2 linked regions of the Schizosaccharomyces pombe genome follow. The gene in region 1 interacts genetically with each later gene. Each region holds a gene or a part of one and is shown in the gene's direction. Other genes may lie near its edges.

Region 1 (12,734 bases):
CTTTGTACGAGTAAATTGGAAACGATGGGTTTGAAGCTGTGGGTGAAACAGCGCAGAAGTCTTCCGTTTATCATTGGAACAATAGCCATTGCTTTGTTTACGGACCTTTTCCTCTATGGAATCATTACTCCTATTCTCCCATTTTCCCTTGTGGACCGAGTGGGTATTTCTCCTGATCGGGTGCAGAGCGTAATTTCTACACTACTTGCTGTTTATGCTGTTGCAAACATTGCCGCCAGTTCACCGATTGGGTTTTTGGCGGATAAGTTTTTAACTAGAAAAGTTCCTATGCTTATTGGTCTTATATTTCTCACTTCTGCAACTGCCCTGCTGACGTTTGGTAACAGCGTTCCCATGCTGATCGTGGCTCGTGTACTTCAAGGTTTATCGGCTGCTGTAGTATGGACTGTCGGTTTAGCTTTACTCGTAGATGTTGTAGGTGCAGACAACGTTGGTTCGACGATGGGCGGAATTTTTGGGTTTATCTCTTTAGGCGAAATTATAGCACCAGTTTTTGGTGGTATAGTATATGAATCTTTGGGCTACTATGCCTCCTTTGGTGTTTGTTTTATTATTTTATTATTAGATATTGCATTGCGTTTTCTAATGATTGAGCCTCGTGAAATGAAGAATGATTCTACTCTGCAAGATGTAGAGCGAACCTCTATTTTACAACGTCAGGATACACAAGATCATGAATTAAAACCCAAGCGAAGTGGTTTGTTCAGTTCTTTATGCCTACCTATCTACTCCTTGTTACATCATAAACAAATCTTTGGTCCATTCTGGACTAGTTTCGTCAATTCGTGCCTTTTCTCTGCCTTTGATGCTACTATTCCTTTAGAGCTGAAAACGCTTTTTGACTTTAATTCGCTCCAATGTGGTCTTATGTTTGGAGTGTTGAGTACACCATATTTTTTTTGTGGTGCTTGGGCTGGTGCAATGGTTGATCGCCGTGGTTCTCGTACTATAGGTAAGCGTGCGTATGCTATTTTGGGATGTACGTTGTTCCTCTTGTGTATTCCTCGAACAAATACTAGTCTTAACATTTATTTGTTCTCTGCTTTCCTGGCTATTAATGGAGTGGTTTTGGCATTCACATCATCCCCCGGTTTTGTTCAATCTTCTCATTACGTTGCTGAATATGAGCTCGAACATCCCACTTTTTTTGGGCATAACGGACCCTATACTCAGCTCTTTAGTGCCTATAATATTGTCTATTCTTTAGGTATGATTATTGGTCCCCTTGTTGCAGGCTTCTTGCGCGATCAATTCAATTTCATAACATCCATTGCATGCTTGTCTCTTTTGTGTTTTTCCGCTAGCCTTATGGCTAACTCATGTTTTACTGATCGGCTTGACTCTGAATAAATTTAAAGGGTCTCAAAATGCCTGATATTCCTGGTCAACGGTTTTCAGTCATGTTTTTTCTTTTGAATTATGGTTGTTTTTTTCATCTTATTATATTCAATTTGTAATCAAATTGTTTGTCATCATTCTCGTTGTTTCGGCTGGCCGAAACCGATTTTTGAAAATTTCCCCATCAAAATATTATCCGTTCATTTGATGGCTTTTAAAAACTGTTTTACATAAGTTGTTGATTCACAATGTTGGATAATGTCGTCGTTTACCGGCAACAACCTTGACAAGTCTTTTGCCATAGAATTGTCGCATTCTGTTCTTTCTTTTAAGTCATTTACGTTAATTTTGGACCACCAAATAGAAGTTACCAAGTTGAGTTTAGTTTAAAAATAGTTGACTATATTCATAAGACCTACATGAAACTGATAGTTAAATTTAAGACAATTATTTATTATTGAAGCAAACTTTCGTTCTTTGTAATAAAGATAGGAAGAGTCTAAAAGAAGTCAAGAGAGTTCAAAGCAATGAACATGTTTACATTAATTCTACCATCCTTAATTAAAATGCGCATTCAACAAGTCATTTTTATTTGTCGTCCTTCGAAGATAATTATTCTCCCTGAGTAAAAACTATTGTATATTCAAAATATAGAGGTGTTTTACCTTTTTGTTTTGGTTTCCAATACAGGTTTTGTCACCTCGCCAATTTTGTGCTTATATTCCAAGAAGTTGCCACGATGCTAACTTGTCGAGTGCCTTATACACTTTCTGGATGGAAACATCTAAAAATCCTTCCGATTTGCCTAAAAAACCTGCAAATGTAAAAAAAAATAGACGAAGGTTTCAAAAATCACAAAAGAAATCGATATCACCTTCTTCAGGTTCAGAATTACCAAATTTTAAAACAACCATATCCCAAAACAATGAAGAGGTAAAGACTTCATTAAAGGAAGATTCCAGCAAGTTCCATCCTTCTGCGAGTGCACCAATCTTTGTCCCCACTTCCTCCGTTCAATTAAACGTATCTAAGAATAATGGACACAAAGCGTCTGATATCGTAGATGCTGTTTCATCTAAGGATGAAGAATTGCGAAAGCATGCAAAGGGAGAAGGGAAAAGATCTAAAAATCGAAAAAGATCTTCTAAGCATTCTGAAAAACAGGCAGTTGACTTGAAGTCTTCTAACTCTAGTCAAGAAACCTCTAGTAGCAAAGGTTCTGTTAACAATAAAAGCGAGAGGTCACGGGAAGCGAAGAGTCGGATGCCAAAAAATTCGAAAGAAATAAAAAAAGGATTGGACCTTTCTAAATTAGATATGACCTCTAGGATGATAGTGGAATTGAAGAACAGACTTTATGAGTGTAGCGTCTGTACCGATACCATTAACCCTTCTACATCGATCTGGTCCTGTGGTACTTGCTACCATGTTTTCCATCTATCTTGTATTCGTAAATGGTGTAAAAACTCAATCGAACAAAGAAATGAAGACGCTTGGCGTTGTCCTTATTGTCAAAGTAATCAAACGGAAACTTCTCTTCATTATCTCTGTTGGTGCGGAAAACAGGAGAAGCCTGAGTTTGTCAAAAACTTGGTACCACATTCCTGCGGTGATCCCTGTGGTAAAACTAGAGGTCAAGATTGCGAACACCCTTGTCCCTTGCTTTGTCATCCTGGACCTTGCCCTCCTTGTACCGCTACTGTGGAAAAGTTTTGCCTTTGTGGCAAGGAAAGTATACATGCTCGATGTTCGAATATTTCAAAAGTAAATACGGAACCTTTTCGTTGCGAAAATGTATGTGATGAGCTATTGCCTTGTGGTGAACATACATGCAAGAAGCGGTGTCATTCAGGCTTATGCGGTGCATGTTTTGAACCTATAAACGCTAAGTGCTATTGTGGTTTACATTCAAAAACTTATCCTTGTTCATCTTTACCATCTCCTTCCATAAGCAAAAAAGATGAGAATGGTTCTGTGAAGGAGTGGTTTGGTTACTACTCGTGCAATAACCCCTGTACTTTATTTTTTGATTGTGGTCTTCATAAATGTAGTAAAACATGTCACCCAATCTCTGAAACAAGGGCTCATTGTCCTTTCGCTACCGATGTATTGACAAAATGCCCTTGTGGAAAGGAAGATATATCTTTTCTGCTTAAGGGACATGAGAGGAAAAGCTGTTCTGATCCTATCCCCACTTGTGAGAACATTTGTGGAAAGCTTCTGTCTTGTGGCCATAGATGCAAATATAAATGTCATCTTGGTTCATGTGGTACTTGTTCGGAAACACTGACCATTCCATGTAGATGCACTGCTAACGAAGTGCAAGTTACATGTGAGCAGTTACAAAATGGATTTATTCCTACCTGTGAACGACTGTGTACGATTCTTCTTAGTTGTGGACGTCACCAATGTAATAAAAAATGTTGTTCTGGTTATTCAAAGGCACAAACACGGTTAGCACGCCGCCCTAAAGGTGCTAAATTGAGATATCATCTTCTTACTGAGGAATTTGAAGAAGAGCATATTTGTTTTCGGCCTTGCAACAAAAAGCTTTCGTGTGGTAATCACTTTTGTCAGCATATGTGTCATCGCGGTCCCTGTCCTCGATGTTTGGAGGCTTCCTTTGAGGAGCTTCCGTGTACTTGTGGACGTACAAGATTATATCCGCCAGTGGCCTGTGGTACGCCGATTCCCGATTGTCCTTACCTTTGTGTTCTTCCAAAATCTTGCCATCACCCTCAGGTCAAGCATAATTGCCATCCTACCTCGGAACCTTGTCCTCCTTGTCCTTATTTTGTTAAAAAGCGTTGTCTTTGTGGCAAACATATTTTAGAAAATCAACCTTGTTATAGAGAAAACGTTAGATGTGGGGAGCTCTGTAATAAACTTCTATCCTGTAAAACTCACTTTTGCGAAAAGCTTTGTCATCCTGATGGTGAATGTGAGTCAAGTTGCAAAAAAGAGTGCGGAAAAAGGAGAATGTATTGTGAGCATGTATGCCAATCTCCCTGCCATGCTGGTCATCCATGTGATGAGCGGATTCCATGCAAGGCACCTCTTGAAGTCTCGTGTGAATGCGGCCGTATTAGAAAAAAAGTCACTTGTGATGCATCATATGATAACCCAGATCCTCAGCATAAAGTGTCTTGTACGCTTGAGTGTTCCCAGCAACAACGAAATAAACTTTTTGCAGAGGCGTTGAACATTAAAACTGATCGGCGGTCCAACGATGTAGCTCAATATACAAAGAGTCTACTTGTATTTTATGGAAAACATTCTGATTTTGCTGATGAAGTTGAGTCGTTACTTCGCAACTTTGTTAACAATAAAGCGTCTTCCTTCCGTTTTCCATCCATGCGTCGTGAACAAAGAGCATTTGTACATATGTTCGCAAAGTTGTTGGGTTTAGAAAGTGTTTCGTTTGACCCTGAACCTAAACGAAATGTCATGGTCTACAATAAAGGAGAGGCTAAGTTGCCCAATATGTTGCTTAAGGAAGCCAATTTGTACCACCTGCAACATCCTGAAATTCCATTAAAGCCGGACAGTCTATTAGGACCTGAGGAGGAAAACGCCACTGCAAGCCATATAGACGGTTCATCAAATGCTAGTGATTCGGGATATAATGCTTTTGTCTTGAAAGAATTATTGAAAGAAGTAAATGATGAATCTGCCATTTTTTCGGTTTTAGACGACATTGTGGATTTTAACCACTTGACCTGGTCTATTCTTTTTGGCGAAAATTATATTATACTAAAACCATTAAACACAGATCTCATTGTCAATAAAACTGGCAAACTAGTGGCCTTGCGTCCTCTTGTAAATCGACGTCTTGCAGACGCAGGAATTGCAAGTCGCTGTGAGATCTGTGAAATAAACGACAAAAACGAAATTGTTAAAACACGCTCTCAGAGAATTCACTCAAAAAAGAAAGCCTTTTTAAGTCTTGTTCCTGATAAATCTATTGGGGTTATTAATCGATATAAGGAACTTGCTACTGAATTGTAGATTTTATTCGTTTCCAAAACAAAAAAGCTTTTTATGACAGCATTTGTTGAGGTCTTTAAATTATTATGTTTCTTAATGAAAGGATTTGGTTTGGGAGGATAGGATTTGTTGTATCTCTAAATTAACTTTATGGGATGTAGCATACAAAATAAATGAATATGATACTTTTAATATAAAGTATGAACTAAAGTGAAGCGATGTTTATAGCTTTTTTTTTATTTGAAAATACAAATAATCTATGTCAAATGTTGAAACAAAAATACTATTTCTCAAGGAAAGGATAATCTTGTTGATACGCGATTTAGTAGAACCTTTAAAGCTGCATCGAAATTTAGTAGTTCTGCATTCTTTTTGTTTATCATCACAAAAAAGAAGGGAATTCTGAATTGAGCCAACAGTTTTTAGTTTCTCAATGGCATTCAAAAAAAACCTTGAAAGTACATGAATAGCGTTTTGTTCAGTCTTGTGGCTAGATAGTTACAAAGAGTAAATTAATATAGTTACTAACTCTAATATGTTCTACATGTAATTTATTTTTGTTTATGTTTAAACATAGAAAAGGACGAATAGTGGAATGGAATCTTATTTAATTTATATTTCATTTGCCTACTACGCAAAATCTCTTAATAAAAATTTATGGTATCGCAGCAGACTGCTAAGTTGGCTAAAGTTTTTTAAGATTACTCATTATATCAATTAACATATGCTAAACCGCGCTATAATCATTTGTGCTATAATAAGATAAATCATTTGGAAATGAATGTTGACAGTTTTTTATTTAACTTTCAGTAATTTTATGCACTGCAGAACCATTCAATTGAAGCTTTATTACTCAGTAGTAAATAAGCTATAATTTATTATAATACTATGCAATATCATGGTTATATACGAGAGCAGTGTTATATAACGCCAAGAGTTATCTGTACAACTGTATATACGCCAAGACAAACTTACGGTAGTCTACCATATTCTTTAAGTTTGTTTTACGCACTTCATACCATTACCAAAAGTTAACATCGTTGTAAATCGTTATGTAATTTTAATCGTAACTGTAGTCGTCACTATTTTATGAAGTATGCGGAATACCTGTGATCATAATATCATGTTCGCTAGAACCAAATAGATTTCATGAATGAAGCCTTCGGAAGCTCGTGAACATGCCATAAGGAAGATTAAGGAGTATCTAGAAAGGCGACATAAACAACAGTTTAAGGCTTTGTTTGGATGTCTCACGATCAATATATACTTAAAGATATTCACGCTCATTTCTACCCCAGATCTGTGTAATTGCCGCCTTGTTTGTAGAAAATTTCAACAATTATGTGATTACAATAGTATATATGTGAAAAAACTACTTCTTATGAATGCTTGGGATGTTACACTTTCTCGAAAGCTTTATTATGAAAGTCAAGATGGGATGTCTCAAGCAAATATGTCTTCCAACACCAGCAAAGGCTTTCATTTACAAAGTAGTGATAAAAAGTATGCTGACTCTGATCGGCCTAAGCTGTCCTCCTCGTCACTTCTTTCCTTACCCGACCAAAAGATCCCTTTTCCTGTTGATTACTCAACAGTGCAAGGGAAGCAAGTAGTTTTGACAGTTTTGGATTGTGTGAGTCAAAGAGTTGAATTTGCAAGATTGGATTACATAAAGGTTTGGAGAGCATTGGCTCCTATCTACCGAAATCTGGCTTATGCTAGCAATACTATTGACCCTATTGCATTTTCTGCTTTTCGGACGCCAGAGGAGCAATCGAAAGTTCTGAAGTATTTAATTAGGTTTGGAAATTCTTATCCCTATGGAACTTATCGACAGGCGATGCAAAATGCCATTCTTGACATGGCTTCATTATTTGAGCAAGCTTGTCTTGATGAATTTGAATTAGGTCTTCATTCTCGTAATCTTGATCTTCTTCGTAAGTTTTCTCATGTTCTTCATGATTTTAGTGGTCCAAATGCATACGTGAGCATGTATCTAGCAAAGCAAACTGATTTTGTTAGGTCTTTCTTCCATTTTGATCCGTATAGTTTGTTTATTTCCAATAATCTAGAAGAAATTCACATTAATTGGAACATCTTGGAGTCTGTTGTTAACGACACTATCAAGCTTTTAGAGTCGGAATCCAAATTCTCTGAAGCTACTTTACCTGAGCCTGAGCTTGTCCAGGTTCCTTATGCTAAAGACATTCTTGGAAATTCACTAAAAGACTATGTAATATCAATATGCGAGCATATTGGTGAAGAAGAGACCGAATTGTTCCTTGTTTTTATTTCTGGATTTTATGGCCTATGCAAGAAGTTTTTTTCGATTCCTAATGGACCGGCTTTAGTGGATACAATTTTTCAACCGCAAATTGATATTTTCATTTCTCAGGAGTTACATTACTTTAAAACTGTTGGCTGGTCGCTGGTTGATCAGTGGGACCAAAAGCTGGAAGAAAAAGAAGACGCTACAGAATGCTTTTTTTACAAAAATGTCAGCCAGAATACTGCCAAAAATAATTTTTTGGAAACCTTTAAAAACGTAATGCTGCTTCCAGTCTCTCTTTTTACAATACCGTCAGAAAACAATAGTGCATCTAATTTGGCTGAGAAAGCGATAGAGCAGAAAGAAGAAGAAGATCCAGAACTTTCAAAGTTGGATGCTGCCCGATTTGTTCCTGCGAATATATATGTTTCTAAGGACCGATTGAAACATCTCCCTACTACCGAATTAGCCGCGCAAGCTGCTGTATTGGACTCAAAACTTGAAGGTATCAGCACCATGTTTAGTTTGGAATTAGCTTTGAAAATCGTCCATCTTTGCAAAGTTAGTTTAGCTCGTGCTAAAGTATTTATGGGTACCTCGGTTCCTCAAGATGATGATATTAAAGGGCTTTCGAAGGACTTATTCGTTCAGCTTCTGCGGGAGTTAGGTCAAGGCCACTTAAAGCATGGGTTTGATCGAGCAATCGAGCATCTCTCTTCTTTTGATCCTCGACGCGACTTTTCTAGTAATACTGTAGAGCCAGTGGTGAAATTTTTGGAGCTTATCAATGTTGGTGATATGATTCAGCAGATGATGGATAGCTTTTTTAACGAAGAAATGAGTCCTATATGTGTGAAAGATGATATGTTTGACCCTGCAATTGCAGAAAAAAAAAAATTCGAGCAGCTTTTGGATGAACGGGCAGCTTTCGGATTACACAAAGGCATTAATGTTCTAATTGAGCATGCCGATTTTTTGCTGGAAACTAAAACACCAATGAATTTATTTAGTGACCAAACTATAGGTTCCATAACGAATACTATAGAGCCTACAGCTGCTGCCAAAAATGTGGTTCAATTTTTAGGTTTCCACATGCGTATTCTAGTTGGAAGGGCCGATCATGAAATCCTTGATGTTTTTTATAAGGAAGTCGGAATGAGACTTTTCGATTCCTTAACACGTTACATAAAATCTCATAAATTCAGTGTCGATGGCGGGCTAAAGTTACTCAGGTGAGATTTTATTCCTTATGTTTAAGAATTATAAAACTGACTCATTTTAGCGATTGTAATTTGTATTATGAATTCATTCACTCTCTTCATCAAAGCAGCCTTTTACCATATTTTAAGACATTGAAGGAAATTGCCCATTTATTTATTATTGATGGAAAAAACGCCGAAGAGATTGGAAAACTGGCTACCGATACTTCTCGATTTTCTAGCGCATTTCATACCGAAGAGGTTTACGAAATCCTTCACAGTCGTATTGACTGGTTAAACATCAAATACGAAGTAGATAAAGTAATCCATGGACTGGCATGCTGTATAATGTAAATATTTTTTATTTTTTGTTCATATCCTTTTTTTGTTATTACCATACACTTTAAAAATGCATCTTGCTTTCTGCTTTAGGCTATAATGTTTGTTTAACAAATTCGTTTTTTGGACCTTTTTTAGGTTTGTGTCTATTATAATATCCTCTAAAAGTCAATCAATTTTAATGTCATAATAAATCATAAATGCAGTAGTTATTAAGGATAAAAGCCAAAACCATTTTATTAACCTAAACCGTAAAAGAAAACCAAATTCCTGAAATTAGTTCTAAATTTTTTAACAACAACTATGCTACCGAAAGCGTAAATATCAGTGTGACCATATACGGACTGCTTTATCAGCGCCTCCAGAAGCGACACGCTGTCCATCCGGAGACCAATCCACCGCAAAGACTTGATCTTCATGACCTGGTAAATCAAACTTCATCTTTTTGGATCGTACATCCCACACCTTTAGCGTCGTATCTTGAGAAGAACTGACCAACAATCGTGAATCTGTAGACCAGGCACATTGATAAACCGCAGCAACATGACCACGCAAAGTTGCAAGGAATTTACCGGTTTTTCCATCCCATAGCCTAACTGAGCTATCGAAACTAGCTGTAGCAATACACCGTCCATCAGGAGAAAATGAAGCATGGTTTACTACCTTTTGATGTCCATGCATTTTTGTGATGGGCTTCGTTGATTTCTGTGGATCCCATAATATTAATTGCAAATCATCACTGGCAGAAACCAATCTCTCTCCTGACTGTTTTAAACAAGCCTCATAACGCTCTTTGGCCTTACGACGCTCATCAGAAAAGCTTTTTGGTTTAAAATCAGTATGATCATATGCACCCGAACGCAAGACATGCTCGGTGGACAAGGAGAGATGGTTCACACGAGCGGCATGACCTTTTAGAATATGCAAGCATTTTCCCTTCAAAATTAGTAAGTAAATAATCCCTAAGTACAATTTCCTTCACTTACATCTTTAGCATCCCAAATCCGTATGGTTTTATCATATGAGGAGGAATAAATCCAGTTTTGACCGCCCCAACGGACACAAGTAATTGGCGCGGTATGACCCGAGAGAGTAAAAAGCAACGTCCTTAATTTGACATTCCAAATACGAACTGTATTGTCTTTTGATCCAGAAGCTAGTAAATAGGGGCCACTGTCAGGAGCAAGATGCAAAGGTTGCCAACATAGTGCCATAATAGGTTTCGTATGGCGTCGTAGAGCATCACCTATAGGGCTCCCCTTTTTGGGATCCCAGAAACGAATCTAAAAATATTAGTGACTTGCGACAAAAAAATCATAAATCCATCAAAAAGTTACTCACCGTATTATCCATGCTTCCTGTAGCTATGATAGAGGCATCAGGGGCCCAAGCGACGCAAGACACCCAGTTAGTGTGACCCTTCATGGTTGCAATAGGGGTTTGCGTATCACAATCCCAGAGCCTTGCCGTGAAATCTCCACTTCCAGTAACTAGCCTCGAGCTTGTGCTAGGCGAAAATTGGGCAGATATAATGGTACCATCATGGCCATTCATTGATGCAGTACAACGAGTAACAGCACGGACACGAAATACAGCTTGAGGAGTGTAGAGTAACGTTAAGTGATCCTCAGTTTTCATAAGTCCATTGTGAAATACAGAAGTGTATAAATTATCTTGAATTTCGATAGTTTCATCTTCATGATGAAGAGCAAAATTATACGGAACAGGATCGTCGGACTGTGAGGATTATGTTAGCACATTTACAGAAAAAAAACTTTCATTCTTACATTCTCTAATAATTGGTTCAACAAGGCTTCCAATTGCCTAACAGAACTATTTCCAGGAACTAAAAGTGATGCCAGTTCATTGCTATCATCTGACGCCCGAAACTGAACGTTAACGAGCGGGAATTTTTCAGGAATTTCTATAGTAGTAGGATTTAAGCTCTCCTTTTTTTGACGTTTACTTTTAGGAGGCAGTAAAGTCGCCATTTTAGAAGGATTTAAAAAAGGAAGGATTTGGTAGTGGTAGTAATGAAAAATACTTACACTTAGTATTCTTAAAAGAGCTGTGATCAGATAAATTTTATCGCGCCAATGATGCATCGCGATAATTTTAACAACGATCTTCAGCGAATAGAAAAACAATTATAGCTAATTAAGCTAGATTTAAGCGAGGTTATAAAAAATTAGTTTCTGCATGTCGAACAAGAGAAACAAGATCTTAGAGTTTTTATAAAATAAATTTTAGGTAATTCTTTTATGCTTGATCAAATTAACTAGAAGAATTATTGAAAATTTTCAGTATCTCAAGAAATGGTTGGGACGACGAGGTAGGTGATATTTTGTTCATTGGCTTGGGAACCTTAGTGATAAAATAAAAGCTAAAAACTAAAATAATAGTTTTGAGATTGTAATATTTTAAATCACAGGATAAAGCACCTATCAAAAAAAAAAAAGCTTTACTAACTAAAGTTGATGCTTGCATGAAGATTTGTTACAACATGCACATAGAGCTGTTTTGGGGAAGCATTGGAGTTGACCGATGATAAACATCAGACTTGAAATCTACGCCGGTTTGCACCGTTGATGCTGGGTTGGATGCTAAGCTATTACGAATTACAAATACACGGATACATTATCAGTATATGAAGGAAATGGACTATATTATCTATTAATACAAAACCCGATGAAAGGCTTTTTTTGCTTCCAGATGCAAGAGAGTTCATTTCGCTGGGAATGAAGATGAATAATTTTAAAGTAAATCATCGCAACAAAATAGAAGGAAAATGCTCCTCACGAAAATGAGTGGATACAAAAACTTTTATGCTGAATTAGCGGGAAACTCCAACCAATCTCTTAAATAAAAAGAAAAACATATAAAAATCCAAAGTATAGATTTTATGGAAAAAATCTAGAAAAGCATATCGAGTAAACAAGTTCAAGCAAGGGTATACGTGAGAAAACGAGAATATATTAAGTTAAAATACAAGCATCCCGAAAGTACTTTCAAGGACTTCAATTTTTTAACGGTATGTTTTCAACTAGCTCGTGATCTAAACTACACGAGGAGGAAATCTGAATGTTGAATTGGCGAAATTAGGTGCCGAAGAAGTATTCGTTAAAGTGGTGGGAATCCCAGCATTAGATGGAGTAGGACTAGGATGGGCACCTGGAAGATCTCTGAATTGAATCTGTGGGGTAGATGAATTGTTGTGCCATAAAACGCTACCGGTTGAGCCTAAACCGTATAGCTGGTTGAGCATCCTGGAATCAATGGAACCATCAAAATACCTCGACCTTATTTCGAAAAATATTCTCGCGGTTAGCAAGGCATCACTTCCAGCCTGATGTTGGGGTCCTATACGATGTATTTGTAAATCGTCAGCAATGTCTTGAAGACCTTTAGAGTTGTTCAACACAGATTTCATTATGTATTTTATGTCGTAATTTTTCGGAAAATAAATACAAAGAATTTTATAAAACTCCTCATATTCAGCGGGTAAAGGGATTTGTGTCATGGCTTTTAATAAATAGGCAAAGTCATATCCACTATGAAACGTTATCCACGTGACCTCCTCT
Region 2 (12,096 bases), on another chromosome or scaffold:
TTAGGCCGAAATGGGAACAAAGAATGTAATCAAAAGGTAAAAAAAAAAAAAATTGGGATGGCGGTGGAAAGGCGAGGAAAAAAAGAAACAATAAGAGTGTGCAGAGTAAGAGAGGAAAATATTTAAAAAAAAAAAAAAAAACTTAAGTAGGTAGGAAATCAAATGAAAAAATGAATTGATTATAAATAAAAATAAAGAAAAGCTTGAAGAAAGAAAAATAATAAAAATAAATAAAAATAAAGCGATGCGCTTTCTCCCTATCCCCACAAAGTTCTTCTTAATTAATGTGCAAGGGATTTTAGTGCATCTAGTCTGACAGCGATCGCGCGGAAATGGAAGCCAGACCAAACCAAACAAACCCATAGTATTTTCTTATAGAGGCAAAAGCAATAAGAACGGCAGGCACATAATGGAAGTGGCCGGTTCTAGAAACAAGTGATTGGGAAGCAGACAAAAGCGAGCAAAAGTCAAGCCGGAGAGAGATGAGGGAAAGAGATGGCATGGATTCAAACGCTAGAAAACTTTTTAATTTAAAACATTCATCCAAACGTGGTTCAACAAATTTATCCAAGCGTAATGAGATTGAAGAAGGATTTCCAAGTAATATCAACATTCATATTATCATTTAGTCCCAGCAAGTTAAATTTGTTTACAATTTCCCTTGACATACAAGCACATACTCTCTCTCTCTCTCCATCGGCTACTAGCATAGCACAGTATAGCATACACAACCTAATATCACATAGTAGTACATAGCACAACACAACATACTAAAGCATAGTGTCCTTTAGTTCCCTTTTACGTGCTGAAACGTTCCCCCTATCTGCATGGTAAACTCATCCTGCTTATACTAATAAACGTCATTCATTACATAGCTGCATCTTAGCTCAAGTTGCACCTTTCTTCGTGGTACCCGATGGGCCCCGCTTTAACACACGTTGTACGAGGTTGAAACAACGAGATGGAAAAAGGTTGTGTGTTGATTGCTTACGTGGGCGAATGGCGGTGTAGACTATTTAATCGATAACGGGCGCGGGTCGCATCGAATTTGCAAAGAACCAACTAGCTAGGTTGACATTAGAATCCATTGTGGTCCATAGGAAACAAGCTTAACAAGCGGGCCGACTGTATTTACATTATATTTTATTCATTTTTCAAGCAAGGTATGTAGTAAGCTGGCGAGTACAAGTGCAAGTGCAAGCGCGGGTGCGATTGCGATTGCGGAATAGAGATGGTTCAGGAAATACACATCATGATTGAGTTGAGTTGCAATGCGTTACTTGACATCGCATGGAGCGCTTGTGATGCCTTAATATTGTGCGCGCGCTCTTTCTATCCACCTTTGGTTCCTCTTCTACCTTGCCCTTGCCCTTGCCCTTCCCTGTGGCTGTCTTGTCGCATCTTTACTAACATTCCTCTTGTAGAAACATTACTTTTGATTCCCCTCCCTACTACTCTCAATGGCGCCTATTAAAACTGCCGTTCTCGGTACTGGCATGTCTGCCTTTATCTTCCACTATCCCTTCTTAAAGGCGCTACCCAACCATTTCGAGGTTTATGCTGCTTGGGAGCGCCGTGCTACCAGCACCGAATCGAAAGCCCGCGCTGCCTTTCCAAACGTAAAGGTGTACACCAAACTCGACGAGCTCTTGGCTGACTCCAACATCGAATTAGTCGTCATTTCACTCCCTCCCAACGTCCACTACGAGGTCGTTTCTCAAGCGCTCAATGCCGGTAAGCATGTGTTGTGTGAAAAACCTTTCACTCCCACCTACGGCGAGGCCAAGGAGCTGTTCGATCTCGCCAAGTCCAAAAACCTCATGTTGACCGTGTATCAAAATCGTCGTTTCGATGGTGATTTCTTGACGGCAAAGGAATGCATCGAAAATGGTCGTTTGGGCGAAGTTGTGCAATTCGAGTCGCATATCGATCGCTTTCGCCTTTTCCGTAAAGGTAATTGGAAGGATGTTCCTAATCCCGGCTGTGGTTTGGTGTATGACTTGGGCTCTCATTTGATCGATCAGGCCATCACCTTGTTTGGCACTCCCCATTCCGTAACGGCAAAGCTCGAATCACAACGTCAGATCCCACCTTTGGAGGTGGAGGATTGCTTCCGCATCGTTCTCCACTATCTGCCCCAAGAAGGAAGACTTCCTCTTGACGTTATTGTGTGCTCCTCCAGCATTTCTTGTGGTTTGGACATGCGTTATATTATCAAGGGTACGCGCGGTAGCTTTTTGAAGTTTGGCATTGATCCCCAAGAGTCCCAATTGAACGAAGGAATGTCTCCCATGGATCCAGGTTATGGTGTCGATTCCTCCCATCATTATGCAACCCTTTGGACCCTACCTCCCGACATCGATGTCAGACACCCCCCAAAACCTACGAAGAGCACTTTAATGACCATTGCCGGTGATTATCGTCGATTCTATTTGGAGGTGCATGAAGCCTTGGTCACGAAGACCTTTGAAACTTCGGTGAAGCCTCATCAAGTTTTGTTGGTAGAGAAGATCATTGAGGCTGCTTACAAGAGTTCCCAATCCTCTACTTCCATCCCATTGTCCGAGTAGGTCTCATGGTTTTGAACCTGCGCGTCTTTCCAAATTCTTCTTTTTTTCTTCCTTCCAGACAGTTTATGTTTTTACGTTTTCTATGACTTTTCAGTAAGCATTGTTTTTGTTGTTTTATGTTTGGTACTGTAACCTTCGACATACTATATCTGATGACGAACCGATGCAAACAGATAGAACTGGTAATTAACCACACAAGTAAGTATATAATTTCTATCTGCGCATGTAAATATGCAAGCTATATACATACGTCTATCTATATCTTAGTATACCTATAAATATAAATATATATTATGTTTTCATCAGCAACAGATTTGGGATGGTATGTATATATGCGCGTATAATAAATAGGGATTTTGTATAGGCAGGTAGGAATAGAAGGAAGAAAGATACAACATATTAAATACATATACTAAAAAAAGTCAACTTCTATACTAAGAAAAAAATCATTCACAATATGACACATAGGGAAAATAACAAAATAAATAAAATATTAAGTTTCTTAAAAAGTAAAATTCATTTCTTCGTATTTTACAAAGACCAACAAAACAAAACACTGTTTTTTTTTTTTATTTTTTTAAGCAGAACACATCTCCATAAAAACAAGCATCTTTTTATTTACTCTGTTCCTTAATTCGGTTATATAATACTATTTCATACACAGGCCAAACCAAATTCGTTGATTCTCCCTTCTTTCAATCTTTTCTCCCAGTTGTTTACGCTATTGTTACCCTTTACTCGTATTCCATTCATGTGGCAAGAAAAGAATCCTAATTCCGCTGACGGATTTAAAAAGAAATTTTTTCGGACCGCTACGAATTCTTATTTGAGCGGAAGTGTGTTTAGTGAAATTTTTTACAAGGAAAGATTCTTTCACTAAATAAGTAAGAAAATGAGTTTTAACTAACTTTATTGAATACAAATCAATCATACATTAAATATCATTTAAATTAGAAATTCTGTGATGAATCAAAAAATCCTTTAAATGTACAGCGCATTTCATTTTTACATCGATAGATCATCAAAATACCATATTCCAAAAAAATAAAGATTCTTCCCTCGTAAAAAGGTCAAGAACATGAATCCATGCACTCGGCTAAAAATAAAAACAAAACAGAATAAAGATATATGTTGGATAAGAAACGAATGGATTCAATAATGCGGCTAGAATACTGTGTTGGAACTTTTGAGAAATTTCCTCAAATTAATATAAAAATTAATTAAAAAAATTTAGGAAAAAATACAAAAAATAGTAGAAGCTTTAGAAAACAATTCAAAAAATTATTTCAAATAAACAATCTTATTTGTTTATTGAACCCCACCAATTTGAACATATAAACCTTTGATTTGGTTTCTAAAAAATTCCAAAAAATTTTAATTAGAAAGGACAACTCAAGTGATGAAATCTTGAGATATGGCTTGTCGATCGCATAGAAAACGTTTGAACATTCGTTTATTTCATGTATTTTCAACATTTTTAATGAAACAATGTACTCATGATTCGAGGCTTAGTGAACCGAATGTTCAATAACCTCATTTACCCACTTTTTCCCTTCCGACATACTCCACCATTGTCGTAAAAAATAGTGAGATTTAACATTGCATTGTAATAGAAATAATATTTAAGAGCCTCTGGCCTGCCCATTGTGGATAGTGAGCAGGAGTTTACATTGGTTAAAATTTTTTTTTTCCTTTTTCAGTCGCATTTATTTTATTTTCTTTTCTTTTGTTTTTCCCAACATAAAGGGTCATTCCACTCTTTTCTTTCTCGCTTTAAAACATTCTTCGTTTAAACAACAATCCACTCAATTCAACGTTTCTACTATAGTTTTTGGATTCGTCTCTGAATTTAATAGGTGTTAAAAGTTTCTTCTCTATCTCAAGTTTTCTTTTTTATCTTTTAAACCGTTTTCGATCAAATTTTTTTTATTCTACTTTTACTTCATTTTTTAACTCAATTGTCTTATTCTTTTTCATCACCAAAAATGCAATTCCTTTCGTCTTTTGTGTTTGCCGCTTTGGCTTTGTTGCCTCTTTCTGCTATGGCTGTTGATGAAGCTGCTTCCGAAATCGCTTCTTCCACCAAGCCTGCCTCTACCAATGGCACTCTCAGCTTCTGCTTAGGCGTGAAGCATGCTGATGGCACCTGCAAGTATACGGACGATTACTTGGCTGATTTTGAGGTCCTTGCTCCTTACACCAACATGATTCGTACCTATGCCACTAGTGATTGTAACACTCTCGAGTACTTATTACCCGCACTTGCTCAGTCGCCTTACAACTTTTCTGCCATCCTCGGTGTTTGGCCCACTGACGACGCTCATTACGATTTGGAAAAGCAAGCTCTTATGCAGTATTTGCCTCAGTATGGTGTTGATCATGTTAGAGCTATAACAGTTGGCTCTGAAGTCTTGTACAGGAATGATCTACCTGCTGACGTCCTTGCCGAACGCATTTACGACGTCCGTGGCCTTGTTCAACAAAAGCTCGGCTTCGATGTTCCCGTTGGTACTGCGGATAGTTGGAACTTGTGGGCTGGTGGTAGCGGTGATGTTGTTATTACTGCCAGTGACTTTATCATGTCGAATGACTTCCCTTACTGGCAAGGTCAAAACACCAGTAACATGACCAACACCTTCATCTCCGATACTTTGGCTGCTTTAGAGCGCGTCCAATCCGTCAAGGGTACCAACAACGTTACCTTTTGGGTTGGTGAGACTGGTTGGCCTACTGATGGTCCTTCTTATGGAGAGGCTGATGCCACGGTTGATATTGCTAGTGAATTCTTCCAAGAGGCCTTGTGTAACATACGTCGTAAGGGCATTGATATCTTCTTTTTCGAGGCATTTGACGAGGACTGGAAGGGTGACTCCTCTTCCGTTGAACCCTACTTTGGAGCCATGTACAGCAACCGCACTCTCAAGTACAATTTGAATTGCACCTCTGAGTAAACAATTGAATAGTTATATTCAACTTTGAGCGTATCTTTTCAACGTTGGATTTTTATACTTCATGTGTATGCTTTTGCCATACTTGCTTGATTGATTATTGCCTTTTTAACATTTTAATTGCTCTTTCGCCTTCTCCGTCAACATAGAAAATACCAAAAACAAACAAACAAACTTTTACTATTTTAAAATTTTCCTAATTAGGAATTTATTAAAAAATATCCAAATTACTCAAACTCTACTGCATTTTCATTATCTACATGTCATTTTGCATTTTCAGGCATATTACTTAAACTTTTCCATAAATCTTTGTTATATAAAACAAACGAATATCCATTTTTCTCAATTCTCTACACCGCAATTGCTGAGTTTGTTTATACATTAAGAAACAAAAATTATTGTAGCACTTATTGCTTTTAATATTTGTAAGCCATTTCATCTTCAAGACTTTGAGATATCATGGAATGTGATACTGAGGTTTTTTGAAGTGTTTAAAGGGTGACTTGTACTTAGATTTCTTTAGCTTCGTTATCAGATTATCTTTGGTTTTGCGTGTATAACAGAAGTCACCAAACCAAGTAAACAATGATTTGGTTTGCTCAATTACTAGCATTTTAAACAGCTTATCAATGTCTGGTAAGAAAAACGAGAAGAAAAAACAGTATTTAGTTAATAGCGTTTCATGATCTCAGCGGACGATGATCATTTTCTTTTTTTAATCTATATTTCGCTAGAGCATACGTCTGTCCTCCAATTTTCACTTAAACAATATAGATTTGGCAGTGTTACTAGAAATACCATTCTTCAGTGCTTTATAATTCTTCATTTTTTTGAAATTGAGTTTATTTACTAATATAATATGCTTATCTAACGTACCGCATATAATCTGAAAAAGGCGTGTCTCTCCTTATACAATAGCGTGTTATTCTGGAAACAAATAAAGAATACATGCTTTATTATAGAAGTTATTCTCCTTAAATAAACTAGTTTTTCTTTTAATTTGCATTTTTGCAAGCTTTGCCGCTTCTTTTATTATATAGTGACTTAACTAGTTCCGCTCACTAAAAGTATAGCAAGATTTAATGTGTCGCTAAACGAGCAGCGCCTTTCGTACCCCTTACGCAGTTGATCTGAACAACCGAACAAGAACCAAGCTCCAAAATGGCGATTTTAAAGTCGGCTCTTGTAGGGTTTATATGCTTTTTGCATTTCTTCATTGTAAATGCTTCCGATAATAAAAGTCTTTTGGTACGTGGATTATAGTGGTTGATAGTCGGAATCCAGAGTAGAATATTGGACGCTAACTAATTGCAATAATTTTGTAGACTGAGGATATTATGGCATCTCAAGTCTGTAATGGAATGTTTGCCAAAAAAGGAAAAACATCAGAGATTACTCGTATGTGAATTTTATATAGGCTTTCATAGTTGCTTGAGGAATCGGGAATTTTTTGGCGACGGAAATCAACATTACGAGCCTTTTATCGTGTTTTGACACTAAGAGTTATGCTGTTTCTTCATCTTTTCTTTGAATATGTTTCAGTTACTAGCGATGGGAAATTGATCGTTGCTTAATCTTTTCAGAGTTTTGCAGATCTTTATCTATATCGTTTTGTCGAAATCTTGACTGTATTTCTTAAGCACCTTTTTATGTTAATCTTTTTTACTATTTGTTAAGTTTTGTTACTAACTTTGAACATAGTGAAAATCGATTCTTATACATCTGACTTTGGCGGCGCCATTCGTTTGCTAATTTTTAACTGGAAAGATGTTAATGCCATCGGCATGGAAGACGATGATGGCGAGAAGCATTATATATGTAACTACGAAGACATTGAAGCCGGTGTTTGCAAGGACGATGATTATGGTCTTTACTTGATTAACCAAACCGCTCCCCACGATTCTATTTACTCAGCCGCCGTAGACGCTGAATCCATGGTTAGTCCCCTTAAATATCCGGTTGAGCAATCTGGTCTATATTGCGTCTTTACCGCACCCCTTGAAGGCTCCAGCGAGGCTTACAAAATCACCGTAACCTGGGAAAACTATTTTGGCAATTTGGATGCTACTGATTATCCTCATTTGTTTTTAAATCCCATTCTTTTGGCGATCAATTGTTTAATTGGAATTTGGTGGTCTTTTATTATGTTCCGCTATAGGCATGATCTCCTTCAAGTTCAAAAGTATATTTCAGGTGTTGTTGCTCTTTCTATTGTTTGCACTATGGTCTCTACAGGTTATTTCTATTTCGCGAATAGCAAAGGTTACACTACAGGTAGTAAAGTTTTTGCTTTCTTTTTGTCGTTAGCTCAATCCGCTCGTCAATCCTATTTCGGATTTTTGCTGTTAATTGTTTCACTGGGTTACTCTATTGTTGTTCCTAGTTTGGGAAGTCTTCTTCGTAAGTGTCAAATTCTTGCTGGTTTGCAGTTCGTTTCTTCATGCTTTTTCTTGTCATCTTTGTTCATTAGCCCATCTAATAAAGAGTCTTTGGTCATTTTGTTTGCCGCTCCTGTCTTTTTAATCACCCTCTTCGCTATGTTCCTTTGGATTGTATTGGCTTTAAATAATACAATTCGTGATCTCCGTATTCGTAAGCAAACTGTTAAGGCTCAGATGTATACTCGTCTTTGGATTGTTATATGTTTTGGCATTGTCGCTTATGCTTCGATTGTCGCAGCCAATGCCATTTTGATTGGTATCTACGGTCAAATGAACTATTACTTAAAATACTGGAAACTTCTTTGGTTCCTTAATTACGGATACACTGATATTCTTGTTTTGATCTTGATGCTTACCATTTTGTACTTGTGGCGTCCTACCGAGAATAACCGTCGTTTCGCAATGAGTGAGCAAGTTGCTCAAGATGTAGATGAGTTTGAGATGACTTCCTCTCTCTCAAATGATAGTTTGCATCTGCATCATGAGCGTCCTACATCTCCAGCCAACCCTCATATTATTCATGGCAGTGCCGATGAGCATCAAGCTCTATTCGCTGTTGACGATGAAAGTGATGATGATGCCTCAACACTTGCAACTTCTAAGCAAAAGCCTGCTTAGATGTAACCACCATACATCAAACCAATCCTTATTATTTTTGTAATTAATTTCTAAGATTATTTCGAAGTTGATGTTATATAAAGTCTAAGCAATTAGATATTTCACGTTTCCCCTCTGTGTTTTTCCTTAGTACAAATTCGCTCGCTTTATAAAATTCTCCCAATATAGAGCTTTCCTTAAATTTAAATATTGTTTTTCTTATGTTTCTTTTCCGTAAGCATTTCATTATTGTAAGTTTTGTATCACAATAGTCAAACAATTTTCGTGCCAAATCCTCGCCAGCGCTTCTGAAGAAAAGTCAAAGATTGATGGTCTTTGGTGTTCCCAATTACAGGAATGTATTCTTTGACATATATATCAAACCATGGTGTTTCAACATCTTCAGCAGCCAGAGTTGGCGATTCACCCTTCGATATGTGATGCTGAATGCGTTCTTCCAAGTTCCCCCAAATCAGAAATAATCTTTCTTTAAGCTGAAGAGTCATCTGCGGGTGATCAGCTAAATTGCAAGGTTGGATTTTTGAGCTGTTAATAAGTTCCGCAGCGTCAGAATCAAAAAATATGACCGGTAAAGTCACATTCGATACATCCCTTACGAGCAAGGCAAACATCCAAACATACGAAGATGGTGGTTGAGATAGCACAGCAAACTGCGTCAAACTCTTTGGCCAAAAATCTACCACCTGAACGCGTAGCCTATGTTTCCTCGGTTTGAGAAGATTCTGCAAAGGTGCATGAAGTATGGTAGAAATAGTAGTCAATTTTAAACTAGCAGGTTCATTTATGACATGGGCCGTAATTTCATTAACAGAAGTTTGCTTTAATTCATGGGCGATAAAAGGATTTTCCGATTGTTGGCTTTGACTGAGTTTCTCGATTACTGCTTCTATACCATTTTGGCAATTCTGAACATAAAGCCTTTTACGTGACTTAATTTCGTTTAGTTCGGGTTCTTCCGAATCGACTTTTTCTATACTCATATTATAACGTTTTGCTGAATCCCCATGAAGTATACATTCCAGATAACCAAGGTGATCAATTTTGGTTCGCACATTTTTCATAACCACATAGTCACCTTCTTTAATGTAGTTGCGGCAGTAAAAGTCGTGCTCATCCCATAAAATGCACCTTATAGAAAACCGACCAAAAGGGCCCCTCCATCTCGAGGAGCTAGTATACGGAGACATTGGAAAAAAAAGCTCATTTTCCGTATAATCAGTGACATAAAGAGTAAAGTTTTTATCACTGTACCAAGTTTTAATTACCTGAGCGTAAAAGCTACAACGTTGATGTGGAGTTATTTGTGATAGCAGAGAAAAAGAGACAGAAGGGTAACTCAATCCAGTTTGATTTTGACGAGCAGAAGAGGTACTCAATAATTCGCCATTTTTATGTTTATTAGTTTGCTCATCCCAAATTTTATTTAACAACAAGGCGAATTGCTCTTCCTTGTCTCCCGTTTTCATTAAACGAGGCATTGGTTGAGGACAGAGAGTATCTTTGGAATTAGAAGAAAAGTCTGGCCAAAGTGCATATCGAAATTGATCCTTAGACAAACCTTGAGTCCTGTCTCTATAACTTCTTAATGTGATTTGATGAAGCAAAAGCGGTTGCCCCACCTGCTTGATTACAGGCAAATCATTTCCCTGTTTGCTGAACAAGTGTATCTGTAGTCCGATGCTTGATGTATCACATGTTGGATCCCACAAATATACGGTGGTTACCCAATCTAAAAACATGATTATTAGCTCTTGACTGGAAAAATAAAAAGTATAGTTTCCACCATGATAAGCAAGCATACCCTTAGTTCCATGTAGACTTTGGCGACTAGGGGTAAAATCTTTTACTATTCCAAACAAATTGACAATAGTATTCTTCTTTTGTAATTCTTGAGAGCTTCTAATGGACTGAAATGTAAGTTCCTTTTTCATTGTTAGCAAAACAAATATAAATCCATTGATATCTCACTCCAATCTTATATTCTCCAGCATTTAATAACTCATTCAACTGAAGACTGTCAATAACGTCCTCTCCCATGCTTGATCAACGAATGATCCAAATATCCTTTAAGAACAACAAATGAGTTTTAGCCTTTCTCAGAAACCTAAATGGAATTGGTAAAAGCTTTTTAAACCAAGACAACCCCTTGAAAGTGATGAACCTTCAGATTATTCAATAGACTGCGTGAGAGTTACTTGTTCAAGCTTGATCATTCCCCTTCTTCAAATTCCTAGGATGAACTAAGGGTTATTCAGTTTTATTTTACCAATAATGAATTTGTTTCTTTATCAAGCAAAAGAATGACCCACTCCTCAATCTTGAGGTTATGAGTGTTCATGGCTAGCTATTAAATGGATCGCCGTAAAGTCCTTAAGCTGAGCGCAGTTGTAAAACTTTAGACATATCCCAGTTTCTGCTAGGCTATTATTGAAAGAGTTTGCCGAGTATCAAGATTTACTAGTATTATAATAAGCAGATCGCATACCGGTTCATGCCAATTGGTACTTAAAAATTTTAATGTATGCGGTTCATCTCGAAAACTCAAGACGCTTACTTTAGCTAATCTAACGTTCAGTTTAGAAAAAGAATGCAATGCAAAAAGCGATAGCTTATTAAAAGACTTTCCTAAGGTATTGCATTCACGATCCAGAACAGCAAACCTGCAACGATCTATTTTGGTTTTAAAAGCGCCAACCTGCTCTATGCGTTTAAACCCATGTAAGTTTAACTTACAAAATAAGCAATTACTTTCAATATAATAAAAAATTGATCCAATCGAATATAATATATACGATTTCATTGTCATAATACCTAAGTTTTGACAGTAGTTTGCTCATAATCTACAAAAAAGAATAAAACTAAAAGAAAGAAAAAAACATGCATGGTTGTTCGTCAAACCTAAATGCCAATTATGCAGCGATATAAATATCCCCCGATCATTTGAGCATAGCTTCGAAGACCAAAGATACTCAGCAAAAGTAGGGCAGGTAACCAGAAAGAGAATAGCATAAAGTCCATTCCTGCCTTTTTCAGTGTCTTTGCCTGCTCCTGTATTGCTCTGGTTTCTTCAGGAGTAAGAGCAGTAGATTTTCCACGACCAACAAGCCGAGATTGCCATCTCAAAGACCACCAAACACTTTTGTGATGATCGGGATCTTCAGATATAGCGCTATCTCTTTTACTAGAACCAGCTTGCGCTGTCGTATCATCAGCAAACTCAGAATAAGGAGGGGGTACATCATCGGGAATGGCCGATATACTTTTTAAGGTTGACAGCATGGCTTTTTGCATCATGGATGGAACTTCACTCATATAATTCTGAGGTAGTTCTTGAAGCGATGGAAACATTGTAACAGTTTTATTCCACATACTTTCACTATATGACTTGGTCTGAACAGCAGATTCCTCAATTTCGTTAACAATACTGGTTGATTCTAAGGTTTCATTTGTATTAATGGAGCCTTCAGAATCCTTAATAAGAGAGCGAGAAATACTTTGGGCTTGTTCATTATTTGCTTC

The links.
Region 2: of pof6 (region 1) and SPOM_SPAC26H5.07C, a mutation in one rescues a mutant of the other (synthetic rescue), as found in Schizosaccharomyces pombe (one large-scale study listed by BioGRID).

What each region holds. Positions count from the first base shown.
Region 1 is NC_003421.2:1,953,631-1,966,364, forward strand, and holds pof6 (exocyst complex subunit Exo5-like, F-box protein Pof6), read left to right. Parts: upstream 1-6,478; 5' UTR 6,479-6,499; coding exon 6,500-8,847; exon of another isoform or gene 8,848-8,897; coding exon 8,898-9,168; downstream 9,169-12,734. Other genes in the region: SPOM_SPCC18.02 (transporter), read left to right, coding at 25-1,371; SPOM_SPCC18.03 (shuttle craft like transcriptional regulator), read left to right, coding at 2,134-5,367; ribosome biogenesis protein Rsa4, read right to left, coding at 9,478-10,089, 10,140-10,436, 10,495-10,890, 10,941-11,144; CCR4-Not complex CAF1 family ribonuclease subunit 7/8, read right to left, coding at 12,209-12,734. UniProt on the Schizosaccharomyces pombe protein: Together with skp1, essential for septum processing and cell separation.
Region 2 is NC_003424.3:4,128,047-4,140,142, reverse strand, and holds SPOM_SPAC26H5.07C (seven transmembrane receptor protein), read left to right. Parts: upstream 1-6,662; 5' UTR 6,663-6,679; coding exon 6,680-6,766; exon of another isoform or gene 6,767-6,843; coding exon 6,844-6,916; exon of another isoform or gene 6,917-7,139; intron 7,140-7,219; coding exon 7,220-8,577; 3' UTR 8,578-8,737; downstream 8,738-12,096. Other genes in the region: SPOM_SPAC26H5.09C (gfo/idh/mocA family oxidoreductase), read left to right, coding at 1,461-2,570; glucan beta-glucosidase Bgl2, read left to right, coding at 4,556-5,521; shelterin complex subunit Pot1, read right to left, coding at 8,829-10,306, 10,379-10,499, 10,546-10,614; mga2 (IPT/TIG ankyrin repeat-containing transcription regulator), read right to left, coding at 11,476-12,096.